Linked DNA regions of Rhinolophus ferrumequinum. The protein of the gene in region 3 purifies or fractionates together with the protein of the main gene of each other region. This does not show direct contact. Links are inferred from orthologs where the notes say so. Each region holds a gene or a part of one and is shown on either strand. Other genes may lie near its edges.

The links.
Region 1: the proteins of CTTN (region 3) and FLNA purify together in Homo sapiens (affinity purification with mass spectrometry; 3 studies listed by BioGRID and IntAct, with this or other methods). This does not show direct contact. The link is inferred for Rhinolophus ferrumequinum from reciprocal best matches to the Homo sapiens genes CTTN and FLNA.
Region 2: the proteins of CTTN (region 3) and ACTR2 purify together in Homo sapiens (affinity purification with mass spectrometry; 3 studies listed by BioGRID and IntAct, with this or other methods). This does not show direct contact. The link is inferred for Rhinolophus ferrumequinum from reciprocal best matches to the Homo sapiens genes CTTN and ACTR2.
Region 4: the proteins of CTTN (region 3) and ASAP1 purify together in Homo sapiens (affinity purification with western blotting; 6 studies listed by BioGRID and IntAct, with this or other methods). This does not show direct contact. The link is inferred for Rhinolophus ferrumequinum from reciprocal best matches to the Homo sapiens genes CTTN and ASAP1.

Annotation. Positions count from the first base shown.
Region 1 is NC_046284.1:6,248,994-6,256,230, forward strand, and holds the start of FLNA (filamin-A), read left to right. Parts: upstream 1-4,066; 5' UTR 4,067-4,209; intron 4,210-7,237. UniProt on the Homo sapiens protein: Promotes orthogonal branching of actin filaments and links actin filaments to membrane glycoproteins. Anchors various transmembrane proteins to the actin cytoskeleton and serves as a scaffold for a wide range of cytoplasmic signaling proteins.
Region 2 is NC_046296.1:24,869,736-24,877,109, reverse strand, and holds the start of ACTR2 (actin-related protein 2), read left to right. Parts: upstream 1-4,261; 5' UTR 4,262-4,396; coding exon 4,397-4,444; intron 4,445-7,374. UniProt on the Homo sapiens protein: ATP-binding component of the Arp2/3 complex, a multiprotein complex that mediates actin polymerization upon stimulation by nucleation-promoting factor (NPF).
Region 3 is NC_046294.1:2,980,860-2,988,350, forward strand, and holds the start of CTTN (src substrate cortactin), read right to left. Parts: upstream 3,056-7,491; 5' UTR 2,911-3,055; intron 1-2,910.
Region 4 is NC_046297.1:65,564,446-65,571,898, reverse strand, and holds the start of ASAP1 (arf-GAP with SH3 domain, ANK repeat and PH domain-containing protein 1), read left to right. Parts: upstream 1-4,441; 5' UTR 4,442-4,619; intron 4,620-7,453. UniProt on the Homo sapiens protein: Possesses phosphatidylinositol 4,5-bisphosphate-dependent GTPase-activating protein activity for ARF1 (ADP ribosylation factor 1) and ARF5 and a lesser activity towards ARF6.

The DNA.
Region 1 (7,237 bases), on a different chromosome or scaffold from region 3:
CGTGCGAGTGGAACTGGCAGGAACCGGCCAGAACGTGGGAGCGGGGCGGGGCCGCGGTGCTTGGAGTGGCTCGCCCTCCTTAAGTTACGTGGGCTCCGCCCGGTCCCTTCAAGCCACCACAGCCCCCATCCCCCAACCTCCAGGGCTCCAACGTTTGGTGTTCCCCGGCCGCCCCGGCAGCAGCGGGAAGGGGCCCGATCCTAAGGGCGAGCCCTTGGACAGCGCGGGTCCCTGGCCAGGCGCTGCTGCCAGCTCTTTGAGCGCGTGCGCCACACTAGGGAAGTGGCCCCGCAGAGCCCGGAACCTAGGACGACCCTCAGGCCGACCCTCAGACCTCCTGCCTCAGGACGGCCTTTCTGCTCTGCTTGGCCCTGGCCTGTGCACCTGCACCCTCGGTCCCCACAGCTTCCCCCGCTACCTGCTCCACCCAGGAGGAAATGGGGCACTGGGCCAGGAGGCCGCCAGCACTCCAGGAGCAAGCAGCCTTGGCAGGGGCCGGCCCGTGCCAATGGGCACTGGCAGAGAGTGCCGTGTGATGCATGCAGAGACAGCGAGTGTCCGCCTGGGGTTGCCGTCCACCTGGGGCACTGGGGGTTTCCTCTCCAGTCTGAATGGCCCCTGAGCACAGCGTGACCCCAGGAGATGGCCAGGCGTGGTCCCTTCCAGACCCAGAGTGGCCTGCTCGGGGGTTCCAGTAAGACTTGGCAGGCTCTGAGCCCCTGGGTCTGGGTGGGCTGCAGTGCCTTGGCAGTGCAGAGTCCCTCCCCACCAGGACCGACCGGAGGGCCAGAGGACCGAGGGGGGCAAACCACAGAAGGCTGCGAAGGCCTGCTGAAGAGCCTGGACGGTCACTAGGAGTTGGTAAGGGCCTTGGTCAGTAAAGAGCTGTCCAGTGGAGATTGGAAAGGAGGTGACATGTTGTAAACAAAGACAGCCAATGGAGTGTGTGGCCAGCTGAGATGCCCCTCCCTGGGCAGGCCCAGAACTGGGAGAATGGGGAGATGAGGTGCTGTCCCTGGTCTTATAGATGATAGCTGGTGACAGGGAAAGCAGAAGTAAGGAGGGCTCTGGTTCAGACCCAGGCTGGCTGAGCCAGCTGGTGAGGGTCACAGACCAGTTCTCCATGGAGGTTTGATTATGGGGTAGAGAAGAGGCAGCCATCCAGGGAGTGGTGAGGAGGTGGGGCTGTGGTTTGGGAACACACAAAGACTCTCAGAAGAGTTGCTGTTGTCTGGGTTGTTAGAGGAAAGGTGAGGTCTGCTCTGTCCCCTAAAATATGAGGAGGAAGTATGTAGGTCACAGACACGTGCATGCATGGCTTCAGAGCAGGGAGGGAAATGGCGTTGGGGTCTGGGCCACTCGAGGCTGCCTCATGGAATTTTGAGTTTTGGCAAGATCGGATTCCCCAGCACCTCTCCAAGCCTTCTTCTGCAATGCTGGCCCATGTCCCAGCGGCTCAGTCCTCCCCCATGCCACCCCTCCCTGTACACATCTAAGCTGTTTCCTTATGAGGTCAAGGAATTCTAGGTTTGCCTTCTCCCCAAGGAACACCCCCTCCCTGGCACCTGCCTCGGCACTCTGCTTTTTATGTCCCACGCCAGTTGTCCCAATATGAGGTCCCACCATCGATGGCACCAGGAGGCTGAACTGTGATGGTCCCCTGCGTTCACCCCATGGCTACCTGGCACCCACGACCAGCCCCGCTGCAGCACAGACCCATCCCAGACCACCAGGAACCAGGACGAACCCTTGACCATCAGAGCTGAGAGTCCCTCTGCAGCACCCCCATCAGGAAGAGGAGGAATTGGGGGGCCAGAGAGGGAGGATACTTGTCCAAGGGCCCTGAGTACTGCAATTCATTCATGGACTGTTCCCTCAGCCAGTACCGGATCCTCAGGTCAATAATCTGGACAGTCTGGCACAGCAGGGGTTCCAAGTCCTCAGCGGGGCTTTGGGGAAAATCTGAGGCCTCCAGGGGAGTCTTCCTGGGAAGGGTGGGCAGAGTTAAAGAAGCTGAGTTTCTGTGGTACTGCAGCCAGGGTGGAAAGGGCTAGGAAGCCGCCGACTCCAAATCAAGAGTAAGATAGTTTCTCCTTTAAGGACAGAGGGGATGGCTTCTAAGCACTATATTGTATAACTTGCAATCCCAGCCAGATTGAAAGTTATAAGGAAAAAGAATATCAACCTGAATATATTTCTCAGCATCCATGTCCAAGGAGATGATTGTTCACTGAGTTATTAATGTTTTCTGTAAGATCAGAATCTTCTTATACTTTAGTACTAAACTTCTCTTCAAGGATGTTAGAGATCCTTTGGATTTTACCTGGTATGTGAATGCTTTGAAACATTGCTCAGGTAGTAACAAAAGTCATAAGATGATGATTATTGTGAAAATGTATGTGTGGATGATTGTCACAATCAACATAAAACACTGAATAGTTAGCTGACCTAAAGTCTCTCAAAGAATGCCTCATGTTCCAACCCTAGAAGCATCGGTTCATGTGGGAGCCGTTGGCACAGCCAGTTGGAGAGTGAGCCTGCCTTGGCAGCAGCAATAGAGCTGATTCTAGTGGTTTTCCAAAACCTTCAACACAAGGAGAAAAAGTCTTTCATTTATGACGGTTATTACCAGGGAACAGTTGGTGCTGTACAAACCTTCGTTCCCCCTATACCTGGAAGAAGGAGAGACCAAGAGCTGTGTGTATTTCAGGGGTGTGTGTGGAGGGCGAGAGAGGCAGTAGTGGGAAGAGAGGATTCACATGGAGGTGGGGCGTCCTGAGATCCAGGCACGTGGCCCGCCTCCTTCGTGTCCCCCAGCTCTTGTACACATGGCAATGCCTGTGGTAGGTGGGTTTCCCTCCTTGAAGGATAGCCTTGGCCATGAGCTCCAGCACAGCCACCTTATGGACCTGAACTCAGGTCGCTCCTCTATCAAGTGATGGTAACCCACCATCCTCTTCAGCTGTGGTGGTGGGCGGGTCCCACCAGAGGGAGCAGTGAGAGTTGGAAATCCGGACACTGCTAGGAGATCCCACCATGGGTCAAGGTGGAAAGGTCAAAGCAGAGCTACCACTAGCAAAGGCAGGAGTGGCTGTAGGGAAGCTTGGAGGGTGATCAGCGCCTTCCTGTTACTGGTAAACTGTAGATCGCCAAATTCTTTTAGCAGGTGTGACCAAGCTTCTTCCTTCCATTTTTATTTCTTTCCTTCCTTCCTTCTTCCCTCGCCCTCTCTTTTAATGGAGTAGAATGGAAAATATCAAAGAGCTTTGCAGGTACTAAGGGAGAGTCTTGTTTTGTGAAATGTTTGTTTTAATTATTTGTGTTTGTGTGTGCGCATGCACATGTTTTATGTGGCCTTCTTCGGAAGTGACATTTGAGCTGAATCTGAAACTACCAGGAAATGGGCAGAAGAGGAAGAGGGAGCCTGGCAGTGCCAGGGCATGTCTGTGCCACCCGGCTCACAAACACTTGGCTCTTTGGCTGCACCTCACTGTACACTCTCAGGCTTTGGGACTGCATCTGATTGTGCGCCTAGGAATTCACCACTGTTCTGCTGCCCCCTCCCTGGACTGGCACCAGGCAGGGGCCAAATCAGTGGCAGCCAGGCTGCTTGTTCATCACCGTGGACTCAGGTCCCTGCCCCACTGGGGCCTTGTGGGTGGTAAGTGCTCAGTGAAACACACCTGCAAAGATCTGTTGTCCCCACCACCCCAGAGGGCAGAATCTGATTTGACTGGCCAGCCCAGGCTTGGGGCAAAGGTAGGGGCAGTGACTGTGGGTGGCTCCCTGGAGGAGGTGGCCTTTCCAGCTGGGTTGAGACGTGAGCCCTGCAGACCCCACGGGCACTTGAGGCAACCTCCCCCCATCACCCCGGCAGCCTTCACCGGGTGGTGAGCTCATCGGGGGTGGGGGGTGGGGGGTGGGGAGCGTCACCAAGCAGCCGGGGCGCTGAGCTCACGGCGCGCCCCCGCCCCCCGGCCACTGGGCGATTTTACCAATTAAGGCTTTTTCGCCCAGCAGGGCGCGGGGCGGGCGCGGGGCGGGCGCGGGGCGGGGGTGCGGCCAACAAGAAGGCGGGCAGCGGCGGCCCATTCGCGTGGAGGCGCGCGGCGCGCAGCGGACGCCAGCGGAGCCCAGAGGCGCCGGGCGCGGGCGCAAAGGCGAGCGGGGCGCCACCCTGCGGTTGTGGGCCGCCCACAGGGACAGCAGGTGAGGCAGGCCTCCGCGGCCCGGGTCCGCGCGAGACGGTCACCGCGCTACTCGCGGACCCGGGGCGGGGGTGGCGAAGGCGAGCGGAGAAGTCCCGAGAATGTAGGCGCCGGCGGGCACGCAGGCCCAAGCCAGGTGCAGCTGGGGTGCGTGAGCGCAGTGGAGGAGCCCCCTGCGCCTGGAAGTGCTGTGTCCAGGGGTTCCCTTCCCTAGTGTACCTGTGAAGCTGTGTCTGTACCCAGGAGTGTGGGAGCCCTAGGCCATGGGGATTCCTGAGAGAGGGTGTCTGAGCTTTTGGCAGGATATGGGCTCGCATGGATGCTCGTGAGCTGGCCACTGACTGACTGGGAAGGACTGTCTTTGGAGCAGGACATAGTGTGGGCTGAGGGTGAGTGGCTACCTGGAAGGACACTTTGCAGCCAGTGTTGGGTTCTTCGCTGGCACCAGTCCTTGGCATCAGCTGCCTTGGGCACAGGGGAGCTGGTTCTGGGGCTGCTCTACTCCATGGGGGCCAGGACAGGGCTGTGGCCAGGCACAGGAAGCAGCGTCTCCTTGGACGGGCTAGATTCCTGGGCTGAGCCCTGGGCCCTGTCCCAGGTTGGCTCTGAGCTGGATGTTCACCACCAGCCAGGATGTGAGCTGCAATGTGCCCAGATTCTCATGCTACCCGGCTCCAGGAAAAGTAGGCAAAGTCTGTTGGCAGGCCCACGTGCATGTGCTCCAGGCTGCAAGGTCAAGGTGGGAGCTCAGGAAATGAGTGTCCTCACCTGCCACACCTGGACTTGCCTTGGCGGCCCAGGTCTCTTCTCACCGTGCCATTTTGAGGCTTGCTTCACCAGCTGACGTGCCCCTGTGGGAGGGTCTGGCCTGGGGTCTGAGGGCCAGCTGTGGGGTGGGGGGCGGGGTATGTTTAACATCCAAGAATCTACTCCAAATAAGGGAAAATATGAAAGAGCTGGATTTAGGCTCCCAAGGATTGACTGCCTGATCTGGGGGCTCTGGGATGGGGCGCCATCTGGTGGTAATACTATGTCCCCTAGGGACAAGAGCCCTCTACACCCCTATCACTTGTCTCCCCCAAATAGGGGAAGCCGAGGGCTGGAAGCCAGGACACCCAGCTCTGTCTCCCTTTCTGCTGGAGTTGACTACTGGTCAGTTACTGACTCAGTTTCCCTGCTCTCTGAAGATTAAGGAATGAACACCGATGACCCAGTGGGATGGCACTTAGTATTATAAAAAGAAAATCAATTCTTGATGTAATGCTGTCCTGGGACACATGCTTTCCAGTCGGGCAGGGGGAGCAGAAGGACCACTCAGCCCGTCTTGAATGGGGCCTGGCAGAGAGGGGTCCATCCGGGTTCCCCCTTCACAGCTCTCCTTCCCACCTCCACCCCAGTTCCTAGACACTGTGGTATGGGGTTTTGTGCAGGTATGGTTGAAAGTGGTCAGGAGAGGGGAGAGTGCACAGGTGGGCCTCAGATTGGAAAGTGTTATTTGGAGTCCCTACCACCACCATTGGTGAGGAAAAACCAGTGGGGTGACAGGCAGCCTGAAGCGAGTGTGCTGGAGGGCAGGGGAGATGCCAGCTGGGACCACCGTGGGTAATGCTGACCCTGAGTCATGCACGAGTCAACCAGCCATATTTGGACATGACATGCTGGCTGAACCAGGGCTTTCTGTCCCACTGGTCTTTAGCAGATGATAACTTAATTGCTACTAGTCTGCAGCTCAATCTAAGAATCAAGCAGGAGGGACAGAGACTTAAAGAAAGGAGCATCCTGGAGAGGGGGGGTACACAGAACTGGGAGGAGTGATTCCACTCTGGGGATGAAGCCATGGTTAGGCTGGCTTCTCTTGGTTGGAGGGTGTCAGTGTGTCCCCAACAGGCCTCTTGCTGGTCTCCAGTTCCCTACAGCAGCCTCCCCACTGTCTCCAGAGTTATCTACCAGAAAATTAATTTTGAGCAAATAGTTCCCTGTTGCCCTCTGGACACAGTCCAGGTTTTTCAGCAGGCCTTGGCAGCCTTCTGTGGTTTGCCCCCCTCGGTCCTCTGGCCCTCCGGTCGGTCCTGGTGGGGAGGGACTCTGCACTGCTAAGGCACTGCAGCCCACCCAGACCCAGGGGCTCAGAGCCTGCCAAGTCTTACTGGAACCCCCGAGCAGGCCACTCTGGGTCTGGAAGGGACCACGCCTGGCCATCTCCTGGGGTCACGCTGTGCTCAGGGGCCATTCAGACTGGAGAGGAAACCCCCAGTGCCCCAGGTGGACGGCAACCCCAGGCGGACACTCGCTGTCTCTGCATGCATCACACGGCACTCTCTGCCAGTGCCCATTGGCACGGGCCGGCCCCTGCCAAGGCTGCTTGCTCCTGGAGTGCTGGCGGCCTCCTGGCCCAGTGCCCCATTTCCTCCTGGGTGGAGGAGGGAGGAGGGGAAGCGGTGCGAACGGGAGGATGCAGGTGCACAGGCCAGGGCCAAGCAGAGCAGAAAGGCCGTCCTGGGGCAGGAGGTCTGGGGATCGGCCTGAAGGTTGGCCTAGGGTCCGGGCTCTGCGGGGCCACTTCCCTAGTGTGGCGCACGCGCTCAAAGACCTCGCAGCAGCACTGTCCAAGGGCTCGCCCTTAGGATCTGGCCCCTTCCCGCTGCTGCTGGGGCGGCCGGCTGGGGTGTGGCCGGGGAACCCCAGGCGCTGGAGCCCAGGGGGAGCGGGAGTGGCGGGGGCCTGTGGGTTCTGGGCGGAGCCCCCGTGACTCAGGGAGGGTGAGCCACGCCACCCCACGCAGGGGCCTTGGGGAAGGAAAGTCCCTTGTATGGCGTGCTCACTGGAAGACCAAGTGGTCCAGCGCCAGATGCTGCTCATCCTTTCCTTGCTGCAGCATTTTCTGCAGCGCTGGCGTGAGGCTGCGGGGCTTGGTTTTGTCCTAGACCCCTTCAGTGCCCAATGACTGTCCCCAGAGCCCGGGAGTCGGGTCAAAACCGAGTGGGCAGGGGGGCTTTGGGGGGCATTCCAACGGGTGGGGCGGGGCGCTC
Region 2 (7,374 bases), on a different chromosome or scaffold from region 3:
AATGGACTTTCCTTTGTAGGTTACCGTCTTCTTTTCCCTGGCTTCCTTGAGGATTCTTTCTTTGTCCTTGATTTTAGACAGCTTCCATATAATGTGCCTTGGAGAAGGCCTGTTGGGATTGAGGTAATTAGGTGTTCTATTTGCTTCTTGGATTCGAGGATCCAGTTCTGTCCACAAGTTTGGCAAGTTCTCATTGACAATTTGTTTGAATATATTCTCTGTTCCCTTCTCTCTTTCTTCTCCTTCTGGTATGCCCATTATTCTTATATTGCTCTTTCTAATGGAGTCAGAAAGTTCTTGTAGAGTTCTTTCATTTCTTTTAAGTCTCAAGTCTCTTCTTCCATCTGTGTAATTTCCAGGTTTCTATCTTCGATGTCACTGATTCTTTCCTCCATCTGGTCAACTATACTACCTAAGCTGGCTATTTCATTCTTAATTTCTTCTATTGAGTTCTTAATCTCCAGAAATTCTGTTTGGTCCTTTTTTAAAATTTCAATATCTTTCATAAAATACTCATGTTGTTCTTTGATTGTGTTTCTGAGTTCATTAAACTACCTTTCTGTGTTTTCTTGCATCTCGTTGAGTTTTTTCAGAACTGCAATCTTGAATTCTCTGTCATTTAAATCACATATTTCCATATCTTTAAGTTCCTTTTCTGGAGACTTTCGACTTTCTTTCTGAGCTGTCTTGTTACCTTGGTTATTCATGACAATTATTGATTTATTATTTCTCTTCCTAGACATGTACAGGAGTGGCTTCTGCAACAGGTTGATAGGACGAGGTCTTTCTTTTGTTTTCCAGTACTAGTTGATAGAATTTTATTTTCTCTCCAACTGCAGCCTTTTTTTCTCTCTCACATGGTAGTGCTATGTTTTCTCTGCACTATTCCAGCTTCTCACACAATGGGGGGATTCCCTGGGAGATGGGCTTCTCCTCTGTTAATAGTTCGCCTGGGTCACAGGGCACAGTGTCCGTGTGGGTATGCGGAGAACTTTTGAAGTTCCAAAGCTCTTCTTGCACCAGATTCAGAGCCCGTATGTTTCAGCAGTTCTGTTTACTCCTGCAGGCATCTGCCCAGATAGGTGCGTTCAGGGGCGGGGTGAGTTGTGAGAGGTGGCCCAGAGAATGGCGGCGAACACCACACAGCCGGTCCTGCTTCCACTGCTCCCTCCCCTTTGCCGGAACTAGTTGGGCTGCGAATCTGTTTCTGCGGTCCACAGTTCTCAGAACAGCAAATATTCTGTTCTTTTTTTTTTTTTTAATTTATGGGGGTGACAACTGTTAGTAAAATTACATAGATTTCAGGTACTATTCTGTTCTTTTGATCTGACATTGCTACTATACCGCTTCTAGCATTGGGCAGGTGGGGGCAGGGTGAACTTTGGAAGGGTAGGGAGGGGGGCGGCTAGTCTTAGTGCCTAAGGCTTCTGTTCTCTGCTCGGCAGTGAGGGCTTAAGCCACCGTTTTCAGCCTTCTTCCCTCAGTCTTTGCTCCGAGGTCTCTGCCGTGAGCATTGGGTTCAGCCATGTTATATGCTGCCCCCTCAGCCCTGTGGGCCATAAGCAGAGCCCTAGCAGTCCGAGTTCTTCCCTCTCCCGCAGCCGCGGCAGTTCCAGGATGCAGCGAGCTTGGAAGACTGAGTTAGGTCTGCGTCCTGTGCCCATCCAGCTCCATCTCCACACTTCTCCCTTTTCTCCTCCCCAGCTCATGAGATTCGCCCACCCTTAGGTGAATTCAGTAGTGGGCCTCTTCGTCCTGCCTGTCTGCTATGCAGGGAGTCCTTTGTGGAGTAATAGTTGTTCGATTAGTTGTAAATTCCAGGGGAGATTTATAGAGGCTCACCTCATGCCGCCATTTTGATGACGTCTCTCATTCCAGACTTAATTTTTTAAAGCCCCCATATTCTCATGTGTAAAATGGCAATATTTGCCTAGCAATATTTTTGTGTGGAATAGTTTACATAAAATCTGAACAGAAGGCTAGAAATGAAGCCCTCCTCAAAAAAAAAAAAAAATTCAATCGCTTAAAATGTGGGATCACATTATTTTGAGGAAAGTGACATGACCAGAATGCACTTGGTCTAGAAGGTCAGAGACAGTCACCAATAGTATTACACCTAAATTTGCATAATCAAAAGTTTTGCTACATTTTCATTACTGTAGTTTGTTGATATTTTCTATCATCTGCGTATATTGCTTTTATAGTCAGAAGAAAACAACAGAAGCCATTTATTAAAAAGTAAAAATTAGTAATGCATTTAATTTCATAAAGAGAGAAAGTAAAAATATATAGAAATGCATGAGTTCAATTTGCTGAGACCAACTAAATGTACTCCCAGGAAAACTGCACAGTGCTAGGCACTGGGGCCACAAAAGTCAGACGTATAATTTATGAACTTAATGCACTGTTCAGCAGGGTGAGGTACCGCAATGAAACTGGTGTAGGGAAGACATATTCCCCTGAGGCCTCCTCTCCTACCCATCCTAACCTTCAAACTTCCAACTATAGCTATGGCAGCTGTACTTTGATCTATTTTATATTTTGGGATCCCATATAAAGTTAAATTTGAAGAAAGCATTTTATGCCTTTATAAAGGTTTGAAAGAACAAAGTTAAAACTGAGAGGCAGCCTAGTATTGTAATACTGGATGGGAGGGGGGTTCTTGATCCAAGTTTTATTCTAGTCATGTACAGCCATTTGGAAAGCACAGTTTTAGTTCTTACCTCTGAAAAACGATGGCATTTTTTTTAGATGAATTTTAATGTCATCTATCCAATAAATATTTGTTGAGTGCAATAAACACAATAATGTTATTCATATATCCATGGTAAAGTAATAGTAAATAAAGGGAGTAAAAAGCATCTTAAGGGTTATCAGCAAAATCTTCAGAGATGTGACAACTGGGTCGTAGAGCATGAGTAGATGTCTCCCCATTGATTAAAATGAAAAAAGATAGGGGCATTAAAGATAGAACTACATGTTTGAAAGTATGAAACATAGTGAGGAATAAAGTGAAGAAATAAAATGGAGTCATGATGGTCAAGCTGCTAAATTACGAGAATCAAGTAATCTGAGGCATGAGGAAATGCTTCTATTCTTGCTTTAACTAGCCTGAGGACTTAAACTTTTAAATTTCTCAGTTGTGTGTCAATGCCTGGATGTACATTACTGCCACAGATAACCATCTGAACAACTCAGGAAAGAATGCTCCATTATCCAGACCACCAGACACGTGGAAGATTATCATCCTAGACCAACCCAGAGGCTAAATATGCATGACTGATTGTTCTCAAGAATGTACTTTTTACTGTAAGAACTCACCTTTTCTTTCTCCTTTGGAACACTCTGGGTATTAACTAGTTAGTTGTGTTTTCAGTTTGCAAACCCTAAGACCTTGAGCAACTTTTTGTCATTTATAGCCAAAGTCTCCTGACTTTTTGCGAGTTTGGTTGACAAAAGTTACCACTGAATGGATGCTTACTCCACACACATAATTTTATCCTCACAACAACCATATTATCCGCAGGCACAGATAAGGGGATGCCCAGATCACAAAACTCTTGAGTGGTAGGGTCAGATTTGAAACGGGGGTTTATTTTAAAGCCAAGGTTCTGGGTTCAAGTAGGTATGTATTCTGAAGAAGTGTAAAGCAACATGGTGCTGAGAGAAGGGGTAGGTGGTGTGTGATGAGGCTGGAAATGTAGGCACCCACTCTTATTTAAGGGCAATTTGAGCCAAGAAGGATTGGGCTGGAATTAGAAGTATCTATGACCGCATGATGTCAAATACGTGTGTGTATCCATTCCAGCTCTGTCAGCTGAAAAGGCCTAGAATCGAGAGCACACAGAGCCATTTTCAATAAGTGGGATTGGCAAGGACCTCCAGGTTTGCTCCCGTTCCGGGCTGCCTTCTTCGCCACATTCCACTGCCATCTCGCGACAGACCCGTTGTCCTGCCTGCGCTTTCTGCAGCCAGGTAAGAGTGTCCTCAACTCCTGCGACGACTCTGGAAAAAAGCTGCAGCACCCACCAGCTCGGCTGCGTTAAACGCCGGAAACCATACGCAGAGAGCATCACCCGAGTAGGCAGCAACCGTGAGGGCGGGGCCGGAGCCGGAGCCGGAGCCGGAGCTGCGAGCCAGGACTTGGAGCTCCTCCGCTTCTTATTTGGGCTCACCGCTGCCAATCTCCGTCTCCTCTCCCTTACCCGCCTGTGTCGCGCAGGCCGTGGGCGGGGCGGGGCCGGGTGGCGACTTCCGGTTGGGGAAGAGAACAGAGCCCAAGGAGGGGCTGAGAAGAGGGAGGAGGAGGAAGAGGAAAAGGCCGGGCGGCGGAGGCTGTAGGCGGCGGCTGTAGGTTGTGCGGCGGCAGCAGCGGCGGCTCTCTTCCGGGCGGACGATGGACAGCCAGGGCAGGAAGGTGGTGGTGTGCGACAACGGCACGGGGGTAAGCGGCGGGCAAGAAGCCGCGGTGGCCATAGGTCGGGGTGGGGATGTGCGGGGGACGCGCGGGCCCTCGGCGCCGGGGGCTGCACCCCTGGGCCTTCGGGCCACCGGGGCCAAGGGGCTCGGTGCAGCCCTTTTCCGCCTCCGCGGGCGTGGGGAGCGAGCGGCAGGGTCCGGCCTGGTCTCCCCCAGCCTGCCATCCCCATCAGCCCTCCGGGTTAGGGCGGCGGGCGAGGCCGGCACTGGATGGGGATCTCGCCCGCTGCTCGGCGGGGACGGGCTCCGCTTTCTTGCTGGGGCAATCTGGCTAAAGGGTCGGAGGGGTAAAAGACTAAGTTTGTATGTTCGAGAAGGGCTCCGTTCCCCAGGATTGCCGGTGTATAAAAAGGGGAAAGACCCAGAGGCCTTCCTCTTCCTGTATAGATACTGAACGGGAGGCAGGAAACGGGTTTAAAGAAAAAAAGGGAAGTGCTGTCAGTGCAAGCCTCAGCCCTTTGGCAGTTTTGAGTGTTTTTTTTTTTTTTTTTTTTTTTTGAAGAAAAGAGAGGCCAGGTCGACTGCTCATCATTTAGTTTTTGTTCTGCATGCCGGGATTTTGGCCCAGGTGCAGCCCCGCGGAGACCAGCATGTTACATTGAATGATCTTGGGACATCTAGGACCCGTCAAGGCCCAAATGTTAATTCTACTGATTGGCCTTGAGGGAAGTTAATCAGTTTTGTTACTTATTTTAGATGAGTTCCATAGTGATCATTTTCTCGTATATTATTACAGTGATACCTAACCGTTTTGTAGTTGCATATTTGTGACTTTTCTTTCCCTTTCATAAATGTGATATATGAATTAAAATAGATTTTACTTGAACTTTTAAAACACTTTGGAAACTGTGTTGTGGGGGAGAGAGCTAATATTCACTGCCATAATACTTCCCCTGATTGAATTTGTTACAGACTTTTACAAGCAATAATTATACTAGTTTATCCCAAATGGACTTGAGTAATGAGTGTTATCATATAATGGGACATCCTTACAAAATGGAGTACTTAAATTAAAAAAAAAAGAGGCCCATTTACTGCTATGGAAACATATCTAAGTTTATTGTTAAGTTTAAAAAATGATCCTATTTATGTGTGTGTTCTTCATATAAACTCTATAAATATGTTTATATGTCCACAAACCTGTATGTGTAAGTTTTGGGGGGATACGTGAGAAATGTGCATAGTGGTAATCTGTGAGACTAGGGATAACGGAGTGGGGGAAGATGAAGACTTCATGACTCTTCCAAACTATTGGAAAAATGGTTTTTGTTTTTTAACAAAACATGTATTGTTAAACTATCTTGAAACTAAAGAAACTATAAACAGTTATTACTTTTACAGTTAAAATTCAATTAAAGGTGCTTTTTAAAAGATATTAGTCTCAAATTGACCTCTAAGTAAATTTAAAGATTTGAAAATTGAATTTAAAACATTTTGTTTTGTGAATATGCCTGATATTCTTTTTAGAAATCTGAGCCAACTATATTTTAATGGATTCCTCCTTTTCGAAGGGTAATGAACCCTATTTTTGTAATGAGTTTTGTGATACTGTTAGAATAGGAATGTTAACCTTAAGCTCATTTTTATGTTATTATTTCATCAACTTAGCTATGTTAGGAAGCTGATTGTATATTATTGGTCTTATTCCAATCTATAATTTAAGAATCTTGTTCCTTAAGACAAAAGATCAGTTGCTATGGAATAAATATGAAAAGTGTATTTAGTTCAAACAAAATTTTATATATTTGGTGTTAATTTCTTTTTTTAAAATTATATTTGGATTTTGTATAGACATGATTGACTTCAAATGAAGAAACACTGATATAATATGGAATGCTGTGATATTTCTGAAAATTTAGAGAATTAGGAACCACTTAGATTCTATATTTTGTTTCATAGTCTTGATTTTATTGAGGTATCTGATTTCATTTAATCATACCTTTACAATATTTAATTGTAAAGGTATGATTACAATTAAATATTAAACAAGATATTCAAATTTAATTTCTAAAAATTTATGGGAATAGTTGTTACCCTAAAGCAGCTTGCCTCTTACACGTTTTAGGTTAAAATTATAAGCAATTTGAGAAGTTGATGATTTTTTTCTTTTAACTCCTCTGACAGGCCTTAAGTTGAAGAGTAGGTGAGTTTTTATGATCACGTGCTAGATGTTGGTCCTGCTCCTCTTCCTCACTAGCCCCCAACTAGACCAGAGTCTCGTTCAGGCAGCCTAGAGGAGGAAAATGCATCCGATTCCAATAATTTATTTGTTTCATCCTCATAACCAGTCAAACCTACGACCTACAATAGAGCCACTGAACATGGCCAGATAGGTGAAAATCTGGAGATCTGCTTAGGTTTAGGTGCCTTTTAAGAGTTTTGCCCAGGCCCCTGGTGTATGTTTTGTCACCAAACTTGGGTGATTTCATCAGCAGTGAGCACCCACTACAGTGAAGACAACTGCCTACTGTGTGACTGGTACAGTTTTTAAAGTCTAGTGATACAACGTAGCTTATAGTGCTAGAATAATTATATTTTCATTTATAATTCATGATTATTGCCTGCTTTATCAAGTTTATGCTAATTTATAAGTTGAATTTAGGAGCACTTGGAACAGAAATAAACCAAAAACAAACTTGGCTTTACCCTGCAAAATGTTTTGGAATAAATAGAATAAGTATTTTGGTGATGTAAGATCAAAATAATCACTATGCAATTAAATTAATGCATCAGTACCTTCAGATAAAATTAATAAAGGAAAAATACATATACAATCCCAAGTGAAGCTTTATAAATCCGTTTATCTTTTTGAGAGGGGAAAGGTACTTTTAGAGCAAATGTAGATGGACGTTTTCTTCATGTTGCTTGAGAGAACATTATACTTACTGTTCATGT
Region 3 (7,491 bases):
CAGCTCAGAGGATGTGTGGACAGGTGCTCTGGGCAAATCCTTATGTGTGGAGATCCCTTTAGAATACCTCTGAAATCTTCCCAAACAACCAGGTTTTATAAAGAAGTCTGAGAGGAGGATGAGCAATTGGCATTTTACTCACCAAAAAGCTCAACCGCTTTTCAGACACATTGAGAGACTACAGAAAATCAGAAGTTTCAAAGTTTTACAACCGTATGAAGTGTCTTCTTAACGCAAACAGAAATTATTCCCTGAATTGGTGGCACAGACATTTCCTGTTTGCTATCATCCCGGTAAGTTTCCATTTTTAGTTCATTCTAATTCATGACATTGCTAAAAATAATAAAATTCTATTACTGTGAGTTTTAAAAAAAAAACAATGTAAGGAAAAGACTCCATGAAGGGGTCATAATGTGTGTGTGTGGGGGGGGTTAGGGGCGGAGGCGATTACCGCATGAGATCAAGACGCCAGCGCCCTACGCCACAAGCTCCCCAAGCCACTAACGCACGGCCTCTCCCATAGGCCTACACCCCGGCCTCGCCTGGAGGCCGTACTGGTAGACAGTGCACAGCAGACGATTCAAATCCCCTTGTTCCTGGGACACGCCAGTCACAGGCTGGAGCCCCTTAGGTCAGCAGCAGCTTGTCAGGAATTCGGAACTGGAGGGAGGGAGCTCTGTTGGCCCTTCCTGTGCGCCCCTCAGAAGCTCTCACTTGTGCAGGTTGCTCAGTACAGTCTGGGTACGGTCGTCCGCACTGTAATCAGCATCTATAAAACTACCCAAGAGCCACTAGTGATAGGCTCAAACCTAAAATCACTTATTACCCTCTCAATACTTTAAATGAAAAAAAGATAAGACCCCTAGCTGCCATTAATAGTGCACTGGCAGTAAACCTTCCTTGCAAACGTCACCCGTACAAATCAAGCTGCCCAAGTGGGAAGTGATCTTGCACTTCCACATAAACAGAGTGAAAAAGGCCTCCAACCAGCAGTGCGTTAAGTGCAGAACTGGCTTTCCATTGAGCCCACTATCTGGTGTAGCAGAAAACCAACAGCCACAGAGCACGAGGCCATTCCCTACGCCAGTCACTCAGAGGAAACCCCTCCCTGCGCCCCGCTCAGTTCACTCCAAGTACCTGCCTGCACCCTGACAACTGAGAGGCAGGGCCTCTGACAGGCACTTCCCAGCTCCAGACCGGCCCAGGACAAGGCTGTCGCAACACCAGGCAGGCAGTCCCAGCGCTCAGCTCAGTGACTCACGCAGCCGTGCACTCTGAGCACCTACCGTGTTTCCCCGAAAGTAAGCCCTAGCCAGACAACCAGCTCTAATGGAGCAAAACTTAATTTAAGACCCGGTCTTACAAAGACGCATTAGAGCTGGTTGTCTGGCTAGGTCTTATTTTCAGGGAAACAGGGTACTGCACACAGCCTGGACCAAAGGTCTGACTCACCAATTCCCCTGACTTCAAAGTGATTTAAAGGTAAGTTCAGCAAAATGCTTCAACTAAGTCAGCTTTCGTGGGGGGTAAACTTCAGTTACTGGGGGAGAGCATCAAAAAACCACTCTGCGCGACCCTGGCTCTTTCTGCTGGGGTCTGAAAGTCGCCTTTGGGGCGCTTCCTTGCTCCCAGAGTGTGTGGGGGCAGGTTCCTCCCCAGGACTGCCTCAGTGCGCGGTGACTCACCGCGGTCTAACACAGGAATGGGGGTAGGAGCGGGACCCACAGCCCTTCCAGCCCTAGGCGAGCCTGGCTACTACGCTGGATCACGAGCTCTGGATCCAGCTGGATCTAGCCCCCTGACAAAGCCGGAGGGCGGGGAGGGAGCAAGTGAACTCACAGCCCAAATGCGTCACCCAGGAGCCAGCAATCATTCCCAGCAGCTCCAGAGCTGTGACCAGAGGAAGACGGAGTTCCCCCGTGAGGCCGACAGGCCCTCAGATTCCACTGGGAGGAAGCCTGTCCCCTCTTCACCTGAGACGCTCCAGCAGGAGAGCAAGCTCCCATTGGAATATTCAGGCGACAGAAACACAACAGAAACACCAAAAGCACCTTTCTGGTGACTTCCAACACACCCAGTGCAGGGGCTGTTCCAAATTTAGAGCCGCACAACGCGCTGCAGCTCCGCGTGTCCATGCATTTCCATTGACCTGATTGCAAAACCTGCCTGTAGGTGTGGCCCCTCCCAGGCGGACAGCGACCCCTCCGTCGCCAGTCCCACTGGATCCGAAACCGACCCTTAGGAGCCCCAGCACCTTCCCCCTCGGCTTTCCACACCTTTCCCCTAACCCCGGGTGCTGGGCCGCGTCCCCCGCCCCGTGGGCCCGGCCCCTACCTCCACCCTCTCAGACCTCCGGCCTCTTCCCCCTTGGACACTAAACCTCTTCCCATCTGACCCCTCTCCTCCCCGCTTCCTCCAGCAGACCCGCCCCCTTCCTTCGGACCCCGGCCCCCTCCCTCCGACCCCGGCCCCTTCCCTCGGAACCCCGCTCCTTCCCTCCGACCCCAGCCCCCTTCCCTGAGCCCCCCGGCCCCTTTCGAGCCCCCAGCCCCCTTCTCTGAGCCCCCAGCCCTTTTCCCCAGCCCCCAGCGCCCTTCCCCGAGCCCCCAGCCCCCAGCCCCCTTCTCTGAGCCCCCCGCCCCCTTCCCCAGCCCCCAGCCCGGTTCCCCAGCCCCCCGTCTCCTTCCGAGCCCCCCGCCCCCCTCCCCGAGCCCCCAGCCCCGTTCCCACAGTCCCCGCCCGCGGCTCGGGGAAGCCTCGCCCGCGCTCCCCCCGCGCCCGAAACCGCGAGCGGAAGAGCGGCGAGACCGCGGCGGCCGCCGCTTCCTTCCCGTTTCGGGGCCTGGCGGCGCCCGGGACCACAATAAAGGAACCGGCCCTCCTCGCCCGGCGGAAGCCGCACTCGCTTACCGCCACCTGGGGTCGGTCCGGCCCGGCTCGGCCCTGGCTTCGCTACGCCCGCCGCTCCCCAGCTCGGGCTGCACTTCCGGTTCCGCGGGCGGGGGCGGGGCCGCGGCCGCATCCGGGTCCCGGCGAGGCTCCGCCCCCGCCCGGCACGCCCCTCCCGGCCTCGGGTCCGCAGCCGCGGGAGCCCTGGTGACTGCGCGGCAGCCGCCGCAGCTGTCGGGCCCGAGCTTCCTGGCGGCGCGGCTCCCTGCCGCCTCCCTGGGCCACGTGGCACGGCCACCGCTAGCGCAAGCGCGAACCCGCCTGGTGCGAGCCTGCAAAGCATGCTTTAAAACAAAGTGCTCATTTCTGCAGGGTAAATGTACAGAGCTCCCGTCGCGTGCAGACAATCGAGGTGGTATTCCAGCACTGCCCTGGGTGAAAAAGGGAAAGTGAGCCAAGCGTAGGGTCAACGCAAGTGCCTAGAGCCCTGCGGACTCCCTCACAGGTGACTTCATCCTCCTCCACACGTCCTTCCATCCGTCACCCACACATCCATCCATCCATCCATCCCCCCTCCATCCATCACCCACACATGCATCCATTAATCATCCATGCATCCGTCCATCCAAAAAAGGCCAGGTATGTGTTAGGGATAGAAGGTCAGCAGAACAAAATGGGCCTTTTCCTCACGGCCCTTGCAGCCTAGAAGAGAACTAAGGCATTAATCGCATAGATGTATAATTAGGAAACAAGATAAATGCTATGAAGAAGTCTAGGATGTCATGAAATTATACTGAAGAGAAGGTAGGACCTGAACTCCTCCTGGAGATCAGAGAAGGTTTCTTTGAGCAATTAAATGAACATTTGCGTCAACATCTAAAGGCCAAATGGGAATGAACGTAGTAAGAAGAGAAGAATTTTCCAGGCAGGAAACGTCTTGCCGCAGAGGAACTGAAGGAAGGTCGGTGTAATGGAACTGTGGAGACGAAGCAGGGCAGTGCAGCGCGACGGGGCCGGGTCATGTAGGGGTTGGCAGGGCACAGCAAACTCCCTCACAGACAGTGCCATGTGAGCACTGGCTTTTGTTTTTAAAGACATAGGAAGTCCTTGGAGGAAGTTAAGTAGAGGAGAGAGATCATCAAGTGTGTATTGTAATAAGATTCCTCTGGCTGCTGAGCCGGGAATGGTTGGGAAGAGGGCCAGGTAGGAGGAGCCTAGTACAACCACTTCAGGCAAACTTTTGGGAGAAGGTAAGATGGAGAGAAGGGAGTAGACACAGGAGACATTTAAAAAGTTAATAAATAAATTAATTAACTAAATAAAATAAATAAAGGTCACTGCTTAAAAATGAAAAGCAAAAAAATAAAAAGTAAAAAAATAAAATAAAAAGTTAAATTGTTACACTTGAGAATGGATTGGGGGTTTGGAGTGGGGAAGGAGCTGTCAGGTGTCAAAGGATAATTTTTTTTTTAAATATAAAGTCACAATTTTCATACACATATAAAATGAACACGTCAAAGATTTATGAGGTCTGACAAGTTCGCAAACTTGTTGCAATGATGTTGCTAACCTCTTTTATATCAGAGAGATTATTCATTATTAATTTAACTAGACAGTTAACCAAGTTTCCTATTTGGAAGTGCTGAAAAGGCTGCATGAAAAAGTTAGACGACCTGAACTTTTCACCAACAATTCATGGCTCTTGCATCACGACAATGCACCAGCTCACATGGCACTGTCTGTGAGGGAGTTTTTAGCCAGTAAACAAATGACTGTATTGGAACACCCTCCCTACTCACCTGATATGATGACTTCTTTCTTTATGCAAAGATAATGGAAATATTGAAAGGAATACAGTTTGATGACATTCAGGGCATCAAGGGTAATACAACAGCTCTGATGGCCATTGCAGAAAAAGAGTTCCAAAATTGCTTTGAAGGATGGACTAGTTGCTGGCGTTGGTGCATAGCTTCCCAAGGGGAGTCCTTCGAAGGTGACCACAGTGATATTCAGCAATGAGGTATGTAACAGTTTTTCTAGGATGAGTTCACGAACTTCATTAGCAGACCTCGTAATAATGAGTGAAGCAATAAGGTGTTACAACTTTTTCAAAGGAAGTCAAAGAAATGCTGAAAAGAATTTGCAAAAACTGGTCTACCCATACGGCAATAGTCCATTGTATTTCACTAGACCCGGCTAATTTGCATGTCTGTGGACAAGAATTATTTGCATTGCTGTCTGTTTTCTACAGGTTGACTGTTTCCTCTACAGAGGTATGAGATCGTCTAGACTGAAAAAAAAGGCAGGCATTCTATAGAATCAGCTGGTTGTCAGAGGCTCCAGCATTTTCGAAGGAATGTCCAAAAATCACTTTTACCATTGTAAAGTCTGAAATTTTTCCTTACGCAAGGATGACTCCTAGCATCTGAGTCAATTCTCAGACAAGGAAAATTAGGGGCAGGGGGCGACGCAATAAGATTGAGGGGAGAGAGTGAGAATACAGTTTTGGACTCGGTACGTTGATGGGCCTGTGACACATCAAGGTGTGGTCCTCGAAGTGATGCTGGAGAGAAAGCTTTTCAGCTGGGGCGTTAAGAGTAAGTAGGGTTAGGACATAAAAGGTAGGACGGGGCTCCCAGGGGGAGGGAGAAATTCAAGCAAAGGCACAGAGGTGGCAAAGAATGGGGTGTGCACGGGGGCACAAGGTCAGACAGAAAGAACTTAAGCATTTTCACATCCATCATTATTACCGGCAGTGCAGTGGTGTGTGCAGCCAAGCAAAAGGCAAGACTCGCTTTCAGTGACAACTTTCATGGAGCGCTTTAGTCACTGCCTGAAGACAGGAACAGGTGCTGTGCACAAAGGCTCTGGAGGCTGAGCACCTGCCTGAAAACCCCAGCTCCACCGCCTACTAGCTGTGCGACAGTGGACAGTCTCACTGCCTTTCCCTGCTTCAGTTTCGCTATTTGTGCAGCTAGCACCTGCATCCTGGAGTTGTAATATGAAGACCACATGTCGTTTGGTTAGCACAGGGCCTGGCATGCAGAAATGCCCAGTGAGTGTTGGCCTTTAGCTGGCAATAATAGGAAGAGAAAGCCCTGGCAAGCCTGGCAAGATATGTCCATTTTACTTGAGACGATGGAGATCAGAGAGGCTGGATGCCCTACTTGAAGCCACACAGCACGCGGGTGAGACCTGTTGTGACCCACACCTGTGGCCTGGGATCAATTATTCAGAACACCCTCTTTCACTTGGGAAATTGTGGATACCTCAGTTCGGCCCCCAGGGTCCCCTACCTCCAGGTACAACTTGTGGAGGGAGCCTCCTCTAGTCTCCAAGGTGCTGCCCACGACCCAGGCCTCAACCAATCAGCACATTGTACTCCTCTAGCGTTGATTGGCTCAGGGATGGGCACGTGCTCCAACTTGGTCCAATGGGAGATCATTGAGGCTTCCTGGAGACAGGAGACAGGGCCCATCACACACCCAGAGGGAAGAAGAGAAAACGCAAAACAGAATACTTTCCACTTAAAATGAGCCTACAATATAAATTCCAAAGCAAATTCTAAGAACTAACATTAAACGAGAAAACCAATACAATGAACAATGAGAATGTGAATTATTAAAGTTGAATTTCATGTTGTAGCACAATATGGGTATGATTTAAAAATATCAATGTTTTGACAAGGAACATTTACAAAATAGTCAAAACTAATAAACAAAAACAGGCAGTTACGAAAACTTATGTAAAATCTCACTCAGGTGCTACAGACTCGATTGTGTCCCCCACTCAGATTCATATGTGGAAGCGCTAGTCTTCAGTGTGATGGTATTTGGAAGTGGGGCCGTTGGGAGGTAACTAGGTTTAGATGAGGTCATGAGGGTGTGGCCTCCATGCTGAGATTTGTACCCTTGTAAGAGACACCGAGAACTTGCTTCCTGTCTCCATGTGAAGTCACCGCAGGAAAGTGGCCGTCTGCAAGCCTGGAATGGAGCCCCTCACGAGGGAACCTAATCGGCCGGCACCTTCGAGTTAGCCTCCAGAATCGTGGGAAATAAATTCCCATTGTTTCAGCCACCCAGCCTGTGGCATTTTGTTACAGCAGCCTGAGCCGACTAATACAATGTGGGAAATATGGTTATTGAAATGAAAAACTCGATAGAGTATGTTAACTCTAGATTTACATGGTTAAGGAGAAAATTGGTGATTTGGAAGCTATTACCAAGGGATAGCACAGAATAAAAAACAGATTCAAAGCAATAAAAAAAAATAATAAGACACAGCATGTACTTCACATGGAAGATTGAGAGACTATAATCTGTATTGAACAGAGTTCCAAGAGCAGAGAATGATAGAATGGAGAAGTGATAGCTGGGGAAATGATAGGTGAGAAATTTCTGTAATCCAAGAAAGATGAGAGCATTCACACCAAAAATGCTCTCCAATTCAAAGGGTGATATTTATAATAAACATGAAAATACACCTAGAAACGTGATAGTAAAACTGCAAACTCTCCAGGAAAGTCATAAAAGCTACCAGAATGTAAAGACAGATGGTTTGCAAAAGAATAACGATTAATCAGCCGCACTACAGACTTGCCCT
Region 4 (7,453 bases), on a different chromosome or scaffold from region 3:
TAGAGAGCTGTGTACCTCTCCGTCTGGTCCTCTCCTCCCGTGAACAAGCCTTCCTCCAGGCTAGGGCTTGTCCCTTCCCACACCATTCCAGATCCCGTCACCTCTCACTCTCAGGACCCATTCCATCAGTGACCTGGCCCTTCGTCTTCATCCTCTCTCACTCTCCTGGGACCTGACATCAACCGCAGATGCTCACTCGCCCACCCTCTTTAAAGAACCCCCCACCCTTACCTCCCACTAGCTAGATGGCCACGTGTCTGAAGAGAGTTGTCTACACTTGCTGTCTCCCACTCGTCAGCCCACTGCAATCTGGCTTCCAATCCCTCCACTCCATTGAAACAGCTCCGGCAAAAGTTATCAGCTTCCTGTCAGATAAAATGACACCTGCTTTCCAATCCTTATTTGATTGAATTTTCTGGGGGCATTAGAGTGTGTTGGCCATCCCTTCCCTGTAGAAGCAGTTTCGTCCCTTGATCCAGGTTTTCCCTCCACTCCCCTTCGCTGACCACTCCCTCCAGCCTTCTTTGTAGGCACCTCTTCCTCTGCTACCTATGCTATCCCTCAGGGTCCAGTCCTGATCCTGGTACCTTCTCACTCTCCACATTCCCTATGGGGGTTCACTGGCAGCCTGCACCCATAGCTTTGACTCCCAAGAAAGGCAGCAGGGTGGTGATTAAGGGCCTGGACTCCAATGCATAAAGCTCCTCTATGCAATGTTTGGCCTTGGGCCAGTGACTCAACACTCCCATGCCTCAGTTTCCTCAACTGTAAAATGGTACAAAGCTTTTTAGTCTCATCGCTTTCCACATCTAATCATACACCATTTTCTCACATCATGCTGAACCTCGTAGCGTTACCCAAACATATTATGTTGTCATGCTCGGTCTTAGCTCAGGCACTTAGGGGTGCTTGGTCAATATCTGTGGATAAATGAGTGAATGATATCCTGGATTGGATTTCTCCAGAAGGAAATCTTGAGGAAAGGAAGTGGGTGCAGTTAGGTTATTTGGGAGGTGATTGATCCCAGGAAGAACAAATAAGGGAGTGGGAAAGTGAAGCAGGGAAGAGAGGAAAAGCAGAGGGGGTTAAGGAAAGCATTGCTGCTAGGGGCGGCTGGACTCAGTGCCACTGGGGATCTCAGAGAAACTGTCGGAAACACTTTAGAACTGTTCCCCCATAGGGATGGGAGGTGGGGACATTTATCCACTGAGTGTTTGGGGGCTGCCCCAGAGCTGCTGGGCACTTGCAGTGTGGGCACGGTCCCATAGCCCTGGAGAAAGTTCCCAGGCAGAGAGGATGAGAGGTGTGCACTTCAGGTAGACAGTTCCTTGATCAGATAACACAAATCGCAGCTGCAGGTGAGCTCAGAGGAGGGTGCAGGGGACACAGAGCTGAGCTTCACCAGCACATGGCGCTTTTTGCTCCGACTGGCAGGCCTCTGCCCCCTCATCTAGCTAGCTAAGCCCCACTTCTTCCTCGAAACTTAGTTCAAGGGCATCCATTTCTTGGCTGTGGTTTCTAAGCTCCTGCTATGTTTGTGCCCCCGCCCCCTATTATGTGTTAAGATCCTACTCCCCAAAGTGATGGTATTAGGAGGTGGGGCCTTTGAAAGGGGATGAGGTCATGAGGGTGGAGCCCTCGTGAATGGGGTTAGTGCCTTTATGGGACCCTGGGGAGCACCCTTGCCCTCACCCCTTCTACCATGTGAGGACACAGTGAGAAGATGGCCATCTGTGAACTAGCGTCCTCACCAGACACCAAATCTGGCCACACCTATCTCGGACTTCCGTGCTTCCAGACCTGAGAGAAATAAGTGTGTGTTGTTTAGAAGTCCCTCAGTCTAGGGTATTCTGTTACAGCAGCACGAACGGACCAAGACACGCCCCACAGTGCTGATTTCGGAAAGCTCCCCATGCTCCGAGCAGCCCCATGACGCCCCGGACAGACCTCAGTCCGAATTAGCAGCCCCTCTCTGCTGTCTCTCTTCTTGTCTGTCTTCCCTTAGAGAGCAAAGCCAGTTTAGCTTTGCCAATTAGTGCCCAGAAGGTTTCTGAGCACATATAGGCACTTAACCACGGCCTTTTCATGAATTCAAATCCACCTTGCCCAGGGCCCCGCTGAGAGTAAGTGGTCAATAAATGTAGGCTCCTTTCCTTCCCCTGCCGCTCAAAGAGTTCACCATCTTAGGAGAACACTCACCCATGAAGCATATAATGCGATACATAGGTTCTTTAAATGAGCAGAAGTGCTGGGGGAGCACAAAGGAGGGAGCAATTAACTGGGGCTGTACCAATGAGACTGTAGTTAAGTCGTCTGACAGTCTTAATTACTTGTAGTTTCCACTTTCCAGAACCACTAATAGAGCCGTTTGGTGCTCCTTCCATTACACTGGGCTTTCCCATTTGAGAGCCTCTCTGCCAAAGCAGAAGATACAGGGAGCTAAGGGGCTGAGTGAACCTGCAACCTGCATCTCGTTCACCTCTGTCATTCACTTGACATGGCTTTACTGAGAGTTTCCTATGAGCCAGCACTGTCTTTGGCACTGGGATCCAGGAGTGATGGAGACACTCTGATGGAGTTTTCCCATGCAGGGGGAGACATGATAAATAGGGAGACATGATAAATAGGCAACCAGATCAACAGGAACACATTAATAGTGACAAGGGCTATGAAGCTATGAAACAGGGCATGTGACGTGCGGGAGAGCTGGGGAAGGAAGTATAGCTGCCAAAGGCAAATAGATCAAATGGCTGGGGAACCATTTGATCAGCTGGCTTTTGAGCTGTGAGCTGAATGCCAGTAACAGCCAAGCAGAGATTCTTCTAGGCTGGGGGAAAAGCTGCTGCAAAGGGCCTGGGCAGGACCCTGGACTCCTGTTGCCAAGTCCTGAGCTTGTCCCGCCACTTCTGGCCCCTGAGAAAGAGTTGCAGAAAAAGAGACAAGACTGGGTCTAAAACTGATGTCTGGTTCTTGAATAGAGGGAGCTGATACCTACCTTTGGGTTCTCAGCAGGTTCATTTCAAGCTTTGGTTTTCACTCATGGGCATGTTGTTCCCGCTTCAAAGTCTGATTGGGTTTCAAAGGAATTTGAATACTTACAGCAAAACCACCATGCTGCATCCTCCAGGTAAAAAAAACCCCAAATGTGGCATTTCTGTGGGAAACCACAATGAATCACTCCCATTGGCCGCCTAGTCCAGGCCTGACTGGACAGAGGTTTACTTTGGTTTTCTCAAACTCTGTAAAGTCTCTCCAGACTTTTTTACAAACCCCCATAGTGTCCTGACTCTTAGGTTAAGAGCAAAATTCTCAGTTCTGTGAGGTTTGCTGAGTTCAGATTTCTCCAGGACAGGGTCTGCCATAGCCACTAAACCGTTTCCTCTGCAGAGAGCAGTTTCTGAAATGCTGCAAAGAAAAATAATCACTTGGTGATTAGGAGGGAAATGAAGTTCTAAGGCTTTCTAAGTAGGCATAGATGTGCAGGGTACACACTCCACGTGTTAAAACCCTCCTTTCTCTGATGTCACTTACAGGAATAAGGACAATCACGGCTATCATTTACTTGAGCATGTACAATATGTCAGTCCCTGCCTAAACTTTGGGTTTCCAAATGAAACCACGAGGGTGGTTATTACTACCCATGTCACATGAGGAAGTATAGACTTCGGAGAAGTTAAGTGACTTACCCAAGGTAATAGCTAGAAAAAGGCCAAAGCCAGATTCCAACTTGAATCACTGTCCTATCCTATACTACTCTGACCAGAAAATTCCTGGCCCCTGGCACTGGGCAAATTTTGAGGAAATGAGCAGAGCGTTAGCAGTGAAAGGGGGCAGCCAGGTAAACTCATTTCTTTTATTGAAAATGCGGGAAACGGCTTGGAAGCATGCAAGTTCATCCTCTACTGGATGGGAGAGAGGCAAAGGCCCTTTCCTAAAGTTGGGGGCCTTAGAAAGGCACCTCCCAAGGTCAAGGATTTATCCCGGACAAATCCCGCCGCTTACACCTCTGGGCAAGGAGCAGGCAGGCCGGAGGGGGAGTAGGTCGGAAGGGGAAGGGCGCCCGGACCCCGGCCCAGCTTGCTCACGGAGTCCGCGGGGCCCCCGCGGAGCCCCCGCCCGAGCCCCCGCCGGGTGTCGGAGACCCCGCCTGTCCCCCCGCCTGCGTGCCGGCCGGCCAAGGGTTAAGCGAGGCGGGAGCCCCCCGGCGCGGAGCAGCGGCCGGACGGAATGCTTAGTCAGGATTCCGATTTCCTGTCGAAGTGTTTGGATTTCCTGAAACCCGCGCCCTCCGCCGCGGAGCGGGATCGTCCGAGCCGCGCGCGTCGCTGCGGCCCTCCTCCCCTCGGCACATGGTCGCCCGCCCCTTCCTGCGCCGCGCTCGCCTCCCGCGCCTCGCCTGGCCTCCGCCGCCGCCGCCGCCGCCGCGGGCGGGCACTCAGCGCTCGGGCACGCCGGCCCGCGCCCCCCGCCCCGCCCGCAGCTCCCGGCCTCGCCCCGCGTTCCGTTCCGAGAGCCGCGATCGCCGGGCTGAAGGAGCCCGGCGCGGCGTCTGCGCCGTCGCCGGGGAGCTGGCGCCGAACTCCGCGATGGAATAATGCCCAGCGGCCCGCCCGATCCCGGTGAGTCGCGGAGCTCGGGACAGGCTCGGCGGGATCTCTCTGGGTCGTCGGCGTCCCCGGCCCGGGCCCCTCGCGCAGAGGCGCCGGAGCCGTGAGCTGGGCGGGCCTCCCGGCTCCGTTCGCAGTGGAGTGTCCCTGTCCGCGGGGAGGGCGCGGGCCCCCGGCTCAGCAGGGCCCCGGGAGTCTGATCCCACGAGGAGGCGCCCAGGTGGGGCGGGGTGGGGACTCCGCATGCCCTCCGGAGAGGGGCCTGGGACAGCGCTCCGAGTGGCCTGGCCCCAAACGATGGGGCGCCCTCCTTGCGCGGAGCGCGGGCGCTGGCATTGTCTCCCTGGCGCGGCGAGAGGAAAGTTCCCCGCCGTTCCTGGAAGGCCGCCGGCCCCGGCCTGGACGGGGCGCTGCCCCTGCAGGCCCCAGGCCACTTGCTTAAAAGCAAATGAAAGGAAAGAGGGGAACAAAAAAAAGATTCCCACTCCGGCTTGGTGTTTGCTCCGGGAAGACTGGGAAGTGGCTTATGGGTTAACGCTTGTACCGTTTTGAGACCTGCTGCATTTTCTGAGAGCGACATGAAGTTAAAAAGAAAAAAAGAAACTCGCCGGCGTCTGGTATTCTGCGTGCGGTTTCATACATCCCGAGAGTTCTGGGCAGTCCTGAGGGGTTTCCTTTAATAATTTATTTTTCCACTAGGCAGGGGATGGAAGAGCTAGTCCAGACTTTCGTTAACGTGACCCCAGCTTTACCTGCACTAATCAGAAAGAACAAGAACTTTCTCTCACTTTTCCCATAGACTCCGTTATGGTGTCTTGGCATAATTGATTCTGGAATGACAGCAAGGCTGCAGTGCTGAGGCACGTTGGGACTATAAAACATAATTCAGTAGTGGGGCCAGTTTTATCTCTATTGCAACCTTTACCCCAAGGCTTTCCATTTTGCAATTGGAGGGCCAATGTAAAAGCAAGAAGATGCAGCTCTTTTGGAGCCTCAAATAGTAACAGTTTAGAAAGAAAAAGGATCTTTGGGAACACCTGTTTCAGTCCCTTCTTGTACAAATGAGGCTGGGAGAGGGGCAGGACTTACCCAAGGTCACTTGGCCAGCCTTCAGACCCCGGATTCAGTGCTCCCCTCACTATGTCAGCTTATGGTCTGTCAGCCATGAAACATAGGGAAATATGTCTTCTTTGCATTTTAAGCATCCCTATTTTAGTGCCTTCTCTGGTTCTGTCTATCTGTTATTGCTGCTATTTTTGAGATATGCAGTTACCTCCAATTGCATATTTAGAGATAGAAAGTTAAAATAAATTTCCTAACCCTTGCTGCTGTTCAGCCACTGAAAGGATTTGGAATATAAAATGGGTGGCTTATTACATAGAGAATTACTTTTCTCCCTCCCATTCTTTTGTGAAAAATAGAAACTTCCGAGTCCAAAAAAAGGGCAGCATCTTAGCACATAATGTGCCGTGTGATGTTCTCCAGACTTGATTTTCAGCCCTCCTGTATCTTGTGAGCTAAGCAGCCCATCTATTTTCCTTCTTATGAGAGCTTCGAATGGCTGGTTTTTCATTTTTAGTATGTGATCATGTTGGAAAGGACTTTTTCGCAAGCTTGCCATTTGGTGAAGGAAATTGAAATTCTCTCCACCTCCCCAGTGCTTACCAGCTACAGTGAGCCAGATTCTCAAAATCAGTCGGAGCTTTGCAGGCCTCAAACTAATGTGTGCATTCAAATGGGGCCCTCCCTCAGCTCCTCAGGAGGACCACCTCCCAGCTGGCATTTCCACACTGCATCCAGGTGGCTCAAGTCTAGAAGAAAGAAGGGAACCATATTACTTGGAACAGTGCTGTTCTTGCATTTTTCCTCCAAGTTCTCAGTGATGTTTGACGGATCTTGACACTCATTCTTGTTTTTCCCTCCCGTGTTTCATTCTCTCACTTCTCTCCCAGCCACTATGTCTGGCATGGGACCCAGAACAAGCCTTTTCTATGGGATGCATGAATGATCCCCATGTAAAAAGTAATGACAACGACAGCTAACATTTACTGAGCACTTGTTGTATACCCCAGACATGTTCCCTCCTGAGAAGTCCCAAGGAAGAGAGGAACTCCTTTGGCAGCCTCGCCCAGAAAAGGAGGGCACTTTTCAGATTCATCTGAGTCATGCTTTCATTCATCCAGTACACGTTTGCTAAGTGGCTTCTCTGTGGAGGTGCCAATCCTGCAAAGATGAATAGGACTCTGTGTCCAAGGCTTTCTATTTCCAGCCTCATCTTTTAGTGTCAGCCTCACACTTTTCTCTTTTAATTAGTCACTTCAGCAAACCTGGGTTGAGCACCTGCTCCATGCTAAGCACTGTGGGAAGCACCAAGGAATGAGATAGTCCAGGCCCCACCCTCATGGACCCAGGAACTAGGCAAAAACAAAGAAGCAGGTAACTTCTGACCAATGAAGGTTGTGATTCTTACTATCAAGGAAAACACACAAGGGATCAAAATCATGACCAAGTGAAGTGGGGTGGCGCTGGGGGTAGTCCTAGCTTTGCTAGGGAAAGGCCTCTCTGAGACTGAAGAGTTCAGAAGGAACCAGCTGGGCGGAGAGGTTGCAGGGGAGGGCCTCAGGCAGGGGAATCAGAATGTGCAAAATCCTCTGCACAAAAGAGCTTGATGTGTTCCTGGGAGTAAGGGAAATCGGGGGGTTCGAGTGTAAGGGAGCGATGGGCAGAAGGCACAAGGTGAGGTTTCAGAGGGAGGCAGGGGCCAGGTCACACAGTGGGGTTCCAGGTCATGTTCGGGAGGGTCCCCCCACCAGTACAAAGAGAAGCATTGGTGACTGTAGGCGCAG